Mytilus edulis: one gene and its partner. The protein of the gene in region 1 purifies or fractionates together with the protein of each later gene. This does not show direct contact. Links are inferred from orthologs where the notes say so. Each region holds a gene or a part of one and is shown in the gene's direction. Other genes may lie near its edges.

Region 1 (7,354 bases):
AAAAATCCTGGGGAGAACACTGTGTGACCATCTAATCAACGATTGATGCTGTCGGAGCTTAAAATATAATACACTTATCTTCTTATTATAAGGGTGACCTAAATTATTAAATATTTTAACACAATTCCTTGAATTACATATATACCTAAGTGATTCATGGCCGAAACCACAGGCACTTGTTTCTATCCATAGGAAGGTCTAGAACTGTAGAATGCAAACCAAAAAGAAAACTAATATTGCCACTGAGTTTAGTTGGTATATGACTTCTAAAATGCATTGCAATAACGAGATAAAAGTCACAGCATAAACTATAACAGCACAAAGCCACAATGCTTATAAAAGTACCTTTGTCAGGTGCAGGGTTGAGTAAGTAAGTAAGTAAGTAAAACTTTATTTGGATTCGGCATATTGACAAACAATACAAACATAAGCTCTAATGAGCTTTTCACCGAATATAAAAACATATGCAATAACAAATAAAACAAGACATGCAGCATGCAATAAATAATAAGAAGCAGCACCAAAAATTAACTCTAAGCAAATAGATAATACATGTATCTTGCAAAATACCAAAACATATATATGAAGCACTAAAATTTTTAAAACTAAACATCTTTTGCATCCACACAAAGAATAATAAAATATTAAGCAGATTGAATATTTACCTTCGTCAGTTGCTTGTGCATCCAGTTCATCACAGTCAAAGCTGTCAACCTCTTCAAAATCTGAATTGTTTTCGTCCCGTGAAGAAGCGTACGAGGCCATGGTTTGTTGATTTATTTCGGTACGTACTGAAACCCGGACCGGACCGGACTCCGGACCCGGACTTTGGTATGAAACCCGGACCCGGACCGGACGCCGGACCCGGACTAAATGCCGGACCCGGACTGGGTAATAATTCTGAATTTTCTTAGAATCACCTTTTTCTTTTTTTAATCAGGAGAAGGAAGATAATTTTTTGAGAACTGTAACACAGTACATTATAATAATAAGATAATCAAATTTGTGGATTCTCGGGTACACGTCTTTTATTAATGTTTCCGACGACAATCCAATAAGGAAAAAGTTGAATGAAAAAAAATGAATAAGTTCGTCTCATCAAATCATTTGTGAAGTTTTTATATCTCTATCGATGTCTATAGTTTGCGAATACATCTAGTCCGGGTTTACTTCAGGTCACCATCCGGACTCGCCTATTACATTTATATTTTTCGTTAAATGTCGGATAAATATCTTATAAATTTCTTATGTATTACATGCTTGATCAAATGTCCCGTCAATATACTTTACGACAATAAACAGTTTACACACAGTTAGTCGTCGTAATGCAATACACGCAGGAATAGTAAACTTCAAGCTAGTCCGGGGTCATGTCAGGTCACAGTCCGGACTCACCTGTTCAAGAATGTGTATTACATTGTTGAACGCCGCTTAAGTGTCGTTTATTGATTTTTCCGATGACAATCGAATAACTAAAGAAATAGAGAAATGAATAAAGGAAAAGTAAAAAGTAAAAAGGGGGAAAAAATCTTTCAATTAAACAAATAATTTAGTATATTTATATACAATCCGTACACTCCTGGTCCGTGGTTATATCAGATCAGAGTCCGGACTCGTCTAATTTTAATTTGTTGATTCTCGGGTACACGTCTTTTATTAATGTTTCCGACGACAATCCAATAAGGAAAAAGTTGAATGAATAAAAATGAATAAGTTCGTCTCATCAAATCATTTGTGAAGTTTTTATATCTCTATCGATGTCTACAGTTTGCGAATACACCTAGTCCGGGGTTACTTCAGGTCACCATCCGGACTCGCCTATTACATTTATATTATTCGTTAAATGTCGGATAAATATCTTATAAATTTCTTATGTATTACATGCTTGATCAAATGTCCCGTCAATATACTTTACGACAATAAACAGTTTACATACAGTTAGTCGTCGTAATGCAATACACGCAGGTATAGTAAACTTCAAGCTAGTCCGGGGTCATGTCAGGTCACAGTCCGGACTCACCTGTTCAAGAATGTGTATTACATGGATGATCGATCGCTGCTTAAATTTTATTGGAGCAATTCCAACTTTGTATCATCCAATCAGGAGCCGCAGAAGATTTTATTCAGAGTACCATCTTGGGGTAAAAAATATCCCGGTTAACGTGTAACACAAGATTATTTCTGTATTTCTTACCAAAGGAATACTATTGATACGGAGATTACGAGTGAATAATTCATAAGCGATGTATATTAGTTTATTTTGACAATGGCTGCTAAAATAAAATTATTTCACTATATTGAACATTTTTATTTATCATTTCATTAAATCTCGGAGCTAATGCCCCTTTAAATCTGACTTCTATACATGCTTGATTATGATTGATAGTGTAGTCTTTGACACCTTTATCGTGAAACATTGGATTGTTGAATTATTTTAATAGACTTTGTGATGACAATCAAATAAGAAAGTAAATCTTTTTTTTTATTATTTTATTTATAAATACCATGTTATCGACAAGTGACGCGTTATTTGCAATGTTGATATAATAATAAGAATGATGTGATGTGATGTGATTGCCAATGAGACAGCTGACAAAGAAGACCAAATGACACAGACATTTACAACTATAGGTGACCGTACGACACCAACTACAGATATGAGAATACTCGCAGTTACTGATCACAGCTAGTACAAAAAAGCAATCCATCATAGTTTTTACTTTGGTTATTTAAACACTGAATTACCAATAGCCTTAATGTATTTTGTAAGTAATTCCTGGTTAATTGTGTCTTCTTTTTCCTTTTTCTTTCAATTAAACCAATATCCTAAAGCGAGTGTAAACCTTTGTCAATAATTCAATCTGAGGAACAGTATTAGAGAAGAATTTAGAGAAACAGAATTCGGAGAAACCATATAAGTCTTAATAGAGATTAAAATAACTCGGAGGAACAATAAAAAGTCATAAGGCTTCTGAGGAACAACAAGAGATCATAAGAATTCGGAGGAAAAATCAAAAGGCATAAGAATTCGGAAGAACAATAAAAAGTCATAAGAATTCTGAGAAACAATAAGATATCATAAGAGTTCGGAGGAACAATAAGATATCATAAGAATTCGGAATTACAATAAGAGATCATAGGAATTCTTAATGATACTAGTTGACAATTCATAACATATGTACAATTGGGTAACGAAAGAGGTTTATATTGATGAATAGAATCAATGTGACATTCACCTGCAATTAACCTGTGCACAATCGGCGCAAATGAAAGATCGAAACTTTTAAAAATCGGCGCAAATGTCAAACACCCAATAAAACACGAGACTTTCATTACACAGTGACATAACAACGCGTAATTGGTGTTCTCATAAGAGGAAACTAATATTAAAAGTGATTAATTAAGACTGCCAAAACAATGTTTTAGAAAAGCAGGAATTCTATTTTTCCCTTAATGTCTAGAAGAAGAAAACAATACAAAAAAAATATAACCCTCGAATGTATCAAACTATTGCGCTTTACTCTTCCTATGAAAAGAATTTAATTTGCTTTCATTGATAATAAAAAAGATTTTATTAATTTCAATAAAACAATAACGACAAAGGAATTATTATATATTTCTTCCTTACTTTACTTTACTCTTTTTTGTTCAATTTTGCGCTCGGAATGTGGATTTTTTTTTTAATTTTTATATACTGTAACTAATAATTTATATGACAGTAATCTTAAAAAAAATCAAAGTGGTAAAAAACCCACAGTCCGGGTCCGGCATTCAGTCCGGGTCCGGTGGCCAGTCCGGGTCCGGGTCCGGGTTTCATACCAAAGTCCGGGTCCGGAGTCCGGTCCGGTCCGGGTTTCAGTGCGTACCATTTATTTCACTTCCGGTGTAAGTAAAATCTGCAGATAACAATTTTATTTTTTGAAAAAAGATCCTATCGTAAAATCAACGAATCAGATATAAAATTTGTATACTTAACTAAATAGAAAACAAAAATGATATAGTTTCGGAAGAAATTACAAGAGGAATATTTTAAAATTTGTGTTGATATCTTTTACTTTTTACTTTTATCTTATTCTACGTGGATTCTTCAACATCCGGTGTAAACATTGCACTACACAGCCATGGCACAAACATTTCAGCAAGAATACATGCAAATGCCGCCCGTTACTCGGGCTTACACTACAGCATGTGTTATCACAACGATAGCAGTGGTATTATTCTTATTTCAGTTTTAAATAAATGTTAAATACAAGCAATATAATGTAGGACTGTAACACAGCCACTTACAAAATTTTGTATCTCTGATAAAAAAAAAAAGGCTGGATTGTATGTCAAATCATAATCATGTATATGTACAGCTATCAGGTCGATCCACATCGCTATCAATTCAGCATTCAGTTGCACCTCAGTCATTACAACTGAACAGCAGAACTGGGTCAGCTCCTCTTTACCTGCTATCCTAGTTCAAATAATTACAACGTCTTTAAAGGCTATTTTTTTTTTTTTCTTGATGCCTTACATGTACATTGTCACAGGAAAGCGTCAAAGCAAAAATTTGAAATAGCCTTCCATTACATCATAATTATTTGGACTACTGCTATCCACGATGTTGGTTTACTCCAGGGTTTATTGATTGATGATAGACACCAATTCAATGCTGAACAGTATGATCTTAAACTTGTTGTTTTGCATAAATATCGCATTAGCATTTTGTCCTTAACACACATTACAGGGGACATATTATGCTGACTGACTTCTACTGGTCTGTATCATAGGTGTTGGATAATGGACCACCATTGCACTGTCTTACCACTTTGGTCCTGATAAAGATTCCTGTCATCATTATGACTTTGTCTGAGACCCATCGACCAGTACTTCATCATTGTGGTTAGAGGGCTGCCAAGCTGACCAACCTGGCCCTGAAAGCAGTCGTTGTTAAGTACAATAGCAATCAAACTAAATGGTAGTATCTCACGAAAACTGAGATTGCTGCCTATCAATATTGTGCCTTCCATCTGTTCCTGACCAACTGCAGAAAATATTTAAATGCTCACCTTGCTTTTCTTTGGGCACAGAGCTGACTGTGAGAGCTGTAAAGCCAGTCAAGGTCGTTAAAACACTTCCATCATCATTATAAGGTCGATCCAGCCCCAAACTGATAGTGCCCTTGTTGGTCAGGCCCCAAAATCCAGCCCTAAACTGATGCGGCCCGTAGTAATCCGACTCAAGACGATTCGTTTTATACATTTTATGTTTTAAAAAATGTTCTGTGGATCAACAAACTCGCTGTTGTCTTAATTCCATTCAATTGCAATCATCATTTGTACAACATGCATAACATATAGGTCACTTAAAAAATGTTGAAGAATATTCAGTGATATTTGTTTTTGTCGAGCCTTCGACTTTAGTCGAAAAAGCGAGACATAGCGATCCTACATTCCGTCGGCGGCGGCGTAGGCGGCGTCCACAAATATTCACTCTGTGGTTAAAGTTTTTGAAATGTTAATAACTTTCTTAAACTATCCTTGAATTGTACGAAACTCTGACAGAAGCTTGTTTATGATCAGGAGATAGTATCCAGAAGTTAATTTTGTAAAAATAAAATTCCATTTTTTCCGTATTTTACTTATAAATGGACTTAGTTTTTTCTGCCAGAAAACATTACATTCACTCTGTGGTTAAAGTTTTTAAAATTTTAATAACTATCTTAAACTATCCTGGAAATGTACAAAACTTGGCCAGAAGCTTGTTTATGAGCAGGAGATAGTATCCAGAAGTAAATTTTGTAAAAATAAAATTCCATTTTTTCCGTATTTTACTTATAAATGGACTTAGTTTTTCTGCCAGGAAACATTACATTCACTCTGTGGTTAAAGTTTTTAAAATTTTAAAACCTTTCTTAAACTATCCTGGAATTGTAAGAAACTTGGCCAGAAGCTTGTTTATGATCAGAAGATAGTATCCAGATGTAAATTTTGTAAAAATAAAATTCCATTTTTCCCATATTTTACTTATAAATGGACTTAGTTTTTCTTTCAGTTAACATTACATACAGTCTGCAGTTAAAGTATTTAAAACATTTTTAAGATTCTTAAACTAGCCTGGATTTTTACCAAACTTGGACAGAAGCTTCTGACAATCAAAAGATAGTATCGAGAGGAATAATTTTATTGATTTTTTTCATCATTTTTGATGAGTGTGTGATTAACAGCAAAAGTAGGCGAGACACTGGGTTCCGCGGAACCCTTACAAATTTTTTAAATGAAGATATTGCTACATGTACCTTCATATATAGGCATGATAGGTCAGTCATTGAACATGTTCAACACTCTTGTACATGTGGCAGTATAATATATTTTTGAAGTAAGATTTAAAGGCAAAAAGAAAACACTAGTATATCATCAGTCAGAGCTCAGACATAAATAAGTCTGAATCTGCTTTTGACTTATAGATGTCTAAATTTGTAAGTTTTAGGATTTGTCTCCCTTTAATGCAAGACAAAATACGACTTAAATAAGTCAAATATTGTTAAGCAAGAAATGATTGACCAGAATCAAAAAGTTGCAAATATCAACTCCTACAAGTCGATAAGTTACCAAAACTTCAAGACCCACGCATACTTATAAAAAGGTCATGCATCTAAATCAAATAATGACAACATTGAAAGCCAATTATGCCTTGTCTTCTAAAGAAAAATATGAATGAGAGTCTGAAAAATCGGGGATCATGTTAATTAACCTTACAATGCAACCACCTGGATCCACACTTAATGAGGTAAAACATCTGTGTTTAGTAAGGATGTTCAATTAGATAATTAAATATAGATAGATCAAGTCCTTGTGAACTCTCAGACAGGTTTTTACTGTCAAAGGTGGTGTAGTTTGGCCACCAAGTCAAGTTAAGTTTTTTCATCAACATAAATAGACCTAAACAAGTCTGTCATTTTGTGACTTAGATAAGTCTAAAATTGAAAACACATTTTTATAAAGAATACATGTTTTGACTTCTTTAAGTCAAAAACAGAAATAGACTTGTTTATGTCTGAGCTCTGACTGATCATTGTGAATGATCTTTAGTTTTAGATAAAGAAACCTTACATTATTGTTCTTATAATATAACTATTACATTTATATACATGACATGCATGATATATAAGGATAACTTTCTACTGTATTAATGCATTTGAATTTTTCAATTTCCCATATTGCTAATTATTGTTATATTGTTACAAAAAGCAAAGGAACCTCAGTGCAAGTGTAAGGTGACCCCTAGCACTGGCCTGAGCAAAATTCTTTTGTAAAATAATGTTTGTAAACCTGTCAGTAGTTTTCCAAAAATATTTGATCTATATAAA
Region 2 (7,196 bases), on another chromosome or scaffold:
TGCGTTGAATTTGATGTATCTCCATTAGAGGAGTTCTAAAGTCCTATAATGGAAGAATTGGAATGTCCATTGGCTCCATGCGAGGAGTTGTCTGATGTGTCGGTATATGTATAACGGGTGGGTCTGCTCTTTCCAATGATTTGTCTGTAGTCTGCAGTGTTGGTACAGTGGTTGGACCTTTGTTTTTGAGGTATTCATAATCTGTGTCTGTCAATGTCAGAAAACTGATCCAATTTTGTCTGTTTCCGTAAGACATAGGGAGGAAAAAATGAAAGAGTTTGATGAATGGTGTGTAGATGAACGGATGAATGCTTGTAGCATATGGAGGCAAAATAAACTTCCTGTACATCTTGGAATGTTTTATAGGTATGCCTTGTATACGCAAAACTGAAAAAGAAAAATAAGATTTTGTTGTAAAATAATGTACACTTTATGTGCGTTTTTTTATTTATTACAATAGTATTTTTTGTCTATTGGTGACAACTGCATATTGTAGTTGTATCAAAGATCTAATTAATTGTCATAACTATTTCAGTTACAGAGTACGACAGGGTTGTCCTTTTCTCCCTACCATATATGTTGTAAAACCTTATGAGTGAAATGTTATTTGATGTCTTAAAGATACTTCCAAATATACCTCTTAAACACAAACTTTTAGTATAAATCAGAAATTTAAAAATAAAAATGTTACAATTTGCTAATATCGTTTTAACCTACCTGAATTAACCGCTAAAACCCAAATGATAATAGATGACTTGAAAGTCATAATGTTATCTGCAGCTTTGTCTATATAATGGTTATCCTTTGTGTTACACCAAGAACACTATATTATACATATATAAACAGTAAGCCTATATAGATCTATATAGGAATACAGGTATTATATGGTACATAATTTTAGAATGAGTCTTTTTGCGTAATATGACGCACATAGTGACAATGGGTTTTATTATTAGTAACGACCAATGACATTGAACTATTTTTAATTAATGTAACTATTGGTGCAAAAAAAATGAATGGTGTCATAACTTTTGAACACATACAACTCCAAATGTGTTGCGTTTCGTGCGCTTATATACAAATGTAATTATTAAACAGGGTTTTATTTTAAAAGGATGTCAACTCAAAATTGTTATGAATGTCAAGTTATAGTCTACGAATTGTCGAATATCAAAATCCAAATTTAAATCTTACGGAAGCCTTTAAGGGCCATGTTCAATTACTTTATACAATTTGATATAACAAATTATTAATTTGATATAACAGATTATCAATTCGATATAACAGATTATCAATTCGATATAACAGATTATCATATACTTAGACTAAATAACCTATAAATTTTACCGTATGATAATAGCATTAAATTGACGTAAATTCCATATTTTTCGAATTGGTGCTTAGCGGGCTGATATGAAAAATTTATCAAATGCTTATCACATGCCTTTCCGTAACGTTATCACGTGGCATTCCGGTAATACTCGGCCAATTCCGGAAAATACACCTCAATGCTACGTTTTCAGTGAAAAACATTACAAAGTAGTGTACAAAACAACTATTTGAATACTGGAAAGAATATTGTTTAAAATCATAAAAAAAAAAAAAAATAATAATAAATGCATTTTTTAAGTTTTTCTGAAACATAATTTAGAAAGTTTCTTTAAAAAGTTGACTTTTCCAAACAATGATCATTATGTATATTGTTGAATTATTTTTTTGTCGATTCGTCCATAATAAATGGGTTTTTTTTTCTCGCTCTGTTGAGACATATGATAGAAAGATTTCATATTGAATGTATCAAATTTTGGGTCCGACGGCCGTGAACTTTTTTACTCTTTAAACTTCTGGAACCACGTAAAAGGATCAATATATGAATCTGTTATTTTTTTCTACTGTTGAAGCATATGATAAAAAGATCATAACATGTCATTTTTCATATCGCATGTATTATCAGCCCTCGGTCAATATCAGCCCTCGAGCCATGCGGCTCTTGGGCTGAGTATTGAACCTAGGGCTGATAATACATGCAATATGAAAAATGCCATGTAATAATATACAATTACTGTCTTTTGATGAGGTAAATATGCGGTTTTATTGACTTTTGAAAAATTGATATTCACTGAGGCCGACGGCCGAAGTGAATATCAGTTTTTCAAAAGTCAATTAAACCACATATTTACCGAAACAAAAGACAGTAATTGTTTTATTCCATATTCCGAGGAGATAAAATGTATTTGATGACAAACATAATACCAAAACAAATTTTACATGAAACATTTTACCATAACGTAGCATGTAAAAGCGCGTGACGTTTAGCGCGGTGAATAACACTTTCTCAGGTGAATATGCTTTTTTATTCAAAGTCCAATTCATATAGAGAAACCTACTAAAATAATACCAATATGGAATAATCTGATATTATCAATTTGGTATAACAGATTTTCAATTTTGATAATTATAACAATTTGTAAATTTGATATAACAAATTATTAATTTGATATAACAAATTATTAATTTGATATAACAAATTATTAATTTGATATAACAAATTATTAATTTGATATAACAAATGACCAATTTGATATAAAAAATTGTGAATTTCTCTACCAATAGGATAATTTTATCATAATAATGATTAATTTAAATATTGCATAACCCAAACTGGCGCATTTCGTGTACTAATTGATTGTTCATCGGACGTGCAGTGACAAATATCTAAGATCATCTAATGCATATTCAAAACTCAATTTACAGGTTTATTGTTTCTGTAACTCATCCTCCTCCCTTTTTTCTCCTTTATTTGATACATTTTTTTGGGGACTAGTTTCCCAATTTCGTATATGGGACTTTGTGTCTTAGAACGAACAAGTATAAGAGAGAAAAGGGCCTGTTTGATCAATATATATTGCATATTTTCAAAGGAAAACAAAGAGTTCTATTGAGATATTGCTTTTTCTAGGACCATAGGAACATGCAAGGATAAAAAAATATGCTTCACCTTCTTGAAAAAGCCTGGCATGATGCTTTAATGATTTCAACAGGAACATGAAAGGATAAATATTATAAATTTAGCTTTAACATATATTTTTTATTTGGATTTTTAAAAATTAAAATAAAGAAACATGCGTGAGATTTTTAATGATTGCTGACTTCTAATTAATTAATTAATTAGACCACTATGAGGTCCAAATTTTATATATTTGCTCAAAATTCGGATTTGTGTCGAAAGGAAAAATACGTCCACAAATCCGAATTTAGAGCAAATATATAAAATTTGGACCTCATTTTACTCAAAAAGTAGCACATTAAGGTAATTTTTTATAACATATTTGATTTAATCAGCCAAATAATAGCCTATATGCAAATTGTCATCAAAATTTCAATATGGGATCAAAATTGTATCGTATGCCCTTACCTTTTGAAGTGCAATGCCAACGGTCGTTCCCGAAATATATTTCATTTGAACTTATTATTTTACTTCAGACAAAAACTACAGTATATGTAGGACATAGTCTAGGTAACCTGGCATTTAAGGTAGCAGTAGCACTTCCCTCATATGATCATAAACTACTTAAAACTTTTTTTGAATTCTTCTATCGTTATATTCTTGTTTAATATGTCTCTGTCGATATTAAGATTTGGTTCTGAAGTTGGCTGTACCTATCTTTTTGTATATTTGTTATATTATCAATTTTTACAATTTTTCTTTGTTTTACTTATTTTATAAACCCTATATTTAAATTATCACATACTTATATTTGTAAACTAAAATTAAATCCATAGAACACAAATTTGAAATGGTCCAAATAAAAATCACTCAAGAAGGATCATCGAAACTACTAAAGAAATTCAAACTGCAAATATCAGGATCTGGGGAAGAAAAGTGATACGAGTTTTGTCAATACCCTTTCTCCATTCGGAATTAATCTTGTCGCGTAATCATACGCATGCGTATTGAACCAAAACAAACATGGATCACTTTTCCAGCTTCACAATCTTCCTATTACTTTCACAATGTTTTGGAAATATAGTAATGTTTTCAGGAATGTTAGATATAGAAGAAATAAACAACGTAAATTATGGAATCGATATTTTAAAAGAGCCAGTGTTGTTAAAGCCGGAGGTACAAATATGCAGGTTTTCTATACATCCCTCAACATATTTTTTTTTAGCAAATTCGGCCTGAGAAGATCTGAAAACACAGTTATTTTGTTGTGCATTTCTTTAAACCATAAATCTTAATTAAGAAAAATCTCACCTGTGATTTCTCAATTATATTTTTAAACTTTGTTGTGCTACTTTATATATTATAAATTATATCAAAATTATAGAAAACTTCATTATAAATTAAGATTTGTGTATCTTACTATACAAATCCTTGTTCAGCTTACTGTATACACATATTGATTAAAGAACTTATAATATTGCTTTTTTGGAAACTTCAGACCCTTGACCCAAGAATCTGTGACACTTGTCGAACTATTGATGTCATTGAACTTGACGTCGTGCATCAACCAACTTTTCATTGCAGAGTCTGGCATGTCCTGTTGTGATTTAACAAATTTTACTGGAACATTTGTGATGTCCAGTAATGATGGACAAATAGCGATATTAAGGTCACTGGTGTATTGTGTGTTAAAGGAAGGTTGACTATCCAAATAATACATACAGACAATTTTATATTTACCAGTGAGAGGCTTATTGGTAGTGTAAATTATTCTAAAATTTAATTTGTATTCTGTATGTTGCCCCATTTTAGCCATATTAGGGATGTCATGCACATACATCTTGTGATACCCATTGGATCCACAACTAGTTAGATATTAGCTACATTTTTTTGTAAATGTCAACATCTAATTAAAAATGAAATTCATTTAACTAAACACTAATGAATTGCTGTTTCTTTATGATGGAATGTATATTTCTAGGTAGAATTGCCGGTAAATCACATCCATTTAACGTCCAAATATGGACAGAGATATCAATGTCATTTTCCAGACCAAGTGGAAACAGTAAGAAAAACTGAAGAAAAGGAAAAAGAAGCTTTAGAAACTGGAATTCCTGAATTACTTAAACCATTAGAATCTGTACCTTGTTTGCTGAAGGTATATAATTTTTGATGTACTGTTTTAAAGGGACAGATTTTGTTTTTTTTTGCTTAAACTCTATAAAAATAACTTACATCTACATTGTATATAAAGCATGAAACCTTAGGGGATAGGAAATTCTGGAATGTCTATAATTACAGGTATATCATTCAGACCTATATTCAATGCTTTCTGACATAAAATCATTTCAACATATTGATCAGAATGAGACAAAATCGTTTTTACCAATTGTTTTATAATACCTAAACTTGTAAATGCTATTTAAATGGAGCAGAAAGAGAGAGAGGGGAATACACAAGATGATCAATTATTTTAGGAGTTTGGAATTATATAAGCTTCATCAACTGAGTATTTATCAGAAAATGTACCCTGTAAAAAGTGTATGCAAAACAGTGACTAAATGTACATTCAAAAGATTCTAGTTGAAACTAACACTGTAGATAGGCTTAGAATATTTAATTAAAAAAGAAAATTCATATCTGCCTAAGGCCACATATCTTCAAATTTTATAATATTCATTTAGTTCCTTTTTAGCTCACCTGGCCTAAAAGGCCATGTGAGCTTTTCTCATCACTTGGCGTCCGTCGTCGTCGTCGTTAACAATTTTTCAAACATCTTCTCCTCTGAAACTGCTGAATGGATTTGAATGAAACTTAAAATGATTGTTCCTTAGATTATCCTGCACAAAGTGTGTTCTTTAATTTTTGATCCGTCAAAAAACATGGCCGCCGTTACTTAAAATAGAACATAGGGGTCCGATGCAGTTTTTGGCTTATATCTCAAAAACGGAAGCATTTAGAGCAAATCTGACATGGGGTAAAAATGTTTATTAGGTCAAGATCTATCAGCTCAGAAATTTTCAGATGAATCAAACAAACCATTGTTGGGTTGCTGCCACTTAATTGGTAATTTTAAGGAAATTTTGCAGTTTTTGGTCATTATCTTGAATATTATTATAGATGAAGATAAACTGTAAACAGCAAAAATGATCAGCAAAGTAAGATCTACAAATAGATTAATATGACCAAAATTGTCAATTGACCCCTTAAGGGGTAAATGTCTTTTAATGACAATTTTTCACAATTTGTTCATCATATTTGCTAACTTTAAAAAATCTTCTCCTCTGAAACTACTGAATGGATTTGGATGAAACTTAGCATGATAGTTCCTTAGATTATCCTGCACAAAGTGTGTGCTTCGATTTTTGATCCGTCAAAAAACATGGCCGCCCTTACTTTAAATAGAACATAGGGGTCAAATGCAGTTTTTGGCTTATATCTCAAAAACGAAAGCATAGAAGAACTGTAAAGTGTACATGTCCAACTGGCAGGTGTCATCTCACCTTGACCTCATTTTCATGGTTCAGTGGTTATAGTTAAGTTTTTGTGTTTTGGTCTGTTTTTCTTATACTATATGCAATAGGTCTACTAAAATTGGTGTATAGAATGATTGTAAGGTGTACATGTCTAGCTGACAGGTGTCATCTAACCTTGACCTCATTTTCATAGTTCAGTGGTCAAAGTTAACTTTTTTAGTTTTGGTCTATTTTTTCAATACTTTATGCATTAGGTCAACTATATTTGGTGTATGAAAATATTTTATGATCTATATGTCGGTTACGCAGGTTTTATTTGAACTTGACCTCATTTTCACAGTCCATTGCTAAGTTTTAAGTGTTTGTGTTTTGGTCTCATTTTCTTTATTTATAAACAGTAAGTCATATATATTTGTAATATTGAAGAATTGTTAGCTGTACATGTTTGCCTGGCATGGTTCAATATGTTCAATAAGGCATTGTTTACCAGGTGAGCGATTCAGGCTCTTGAGAGCCTCTTGTTTGTTTGTTGTATCTTAAATTATTACCTTGAGTACATGTATATATTTTTTTCAGGCAAAGGATTGGTGGAGTTATGAGTTCTGCTATGGGAAATATATCCGACAATTTCATATTGAAGGTATAAAATAGAAATTAAAACTCTAACTGATGTCTGACAGAACTTTGAAATACTCAAATATTGTGCTTCAATAGGAGATGAAGTATTTTAGGTATCCTAGGCTCTTAAAATTGGTTTTGCTGAGTTTTTTTTG

What was found.
Region 2: the proteins of derlin-2-like (region 1) and protein OS-9-like purify together in Homo sapiens (affinity purification with western blotting; 3 studies listed by BioGRID, with this or other methods). This does not show direct contact. The link is inferred for Mytilus edulis from reciprocal best matches to the Homo sapiens genes DERL2 and OS9.

The regions. Positions count from the first base shown.
Region 1 is NC_092349.1:14,508,295-14,515,648, reverse strand, and holds the start of derlin-2-like, read left to right. Parts: upstream 1-4,057; 5' UTR 4,058-4,121; coding exon 4,122-4,211; intron 4,212-7,354. Other genes in the region: sin3 histone deacetylase corepressor complex component SDS3-like, read right to left, coding at 666-765.
Region 2 is NC_092345.1:81,442,819-81,450,014, forward strand, and holds the start of protein OS-9-like, read left to right. Parts: upstream 1-3,935; 5' UTR 3,936-3,970; coding exon 3,971-4,123; intron 4,124-4,928; coding exon 4,929-5,105; intron 5,106-6,999; coding exon 7,000-7,063; intron 7,064-7,196. UniProt on the Homo sapiens protein: Lectin component of the HRD1 complex, which functions in endoplasmic reticulum (ER) quality control and ER-associated degradation (ERAD).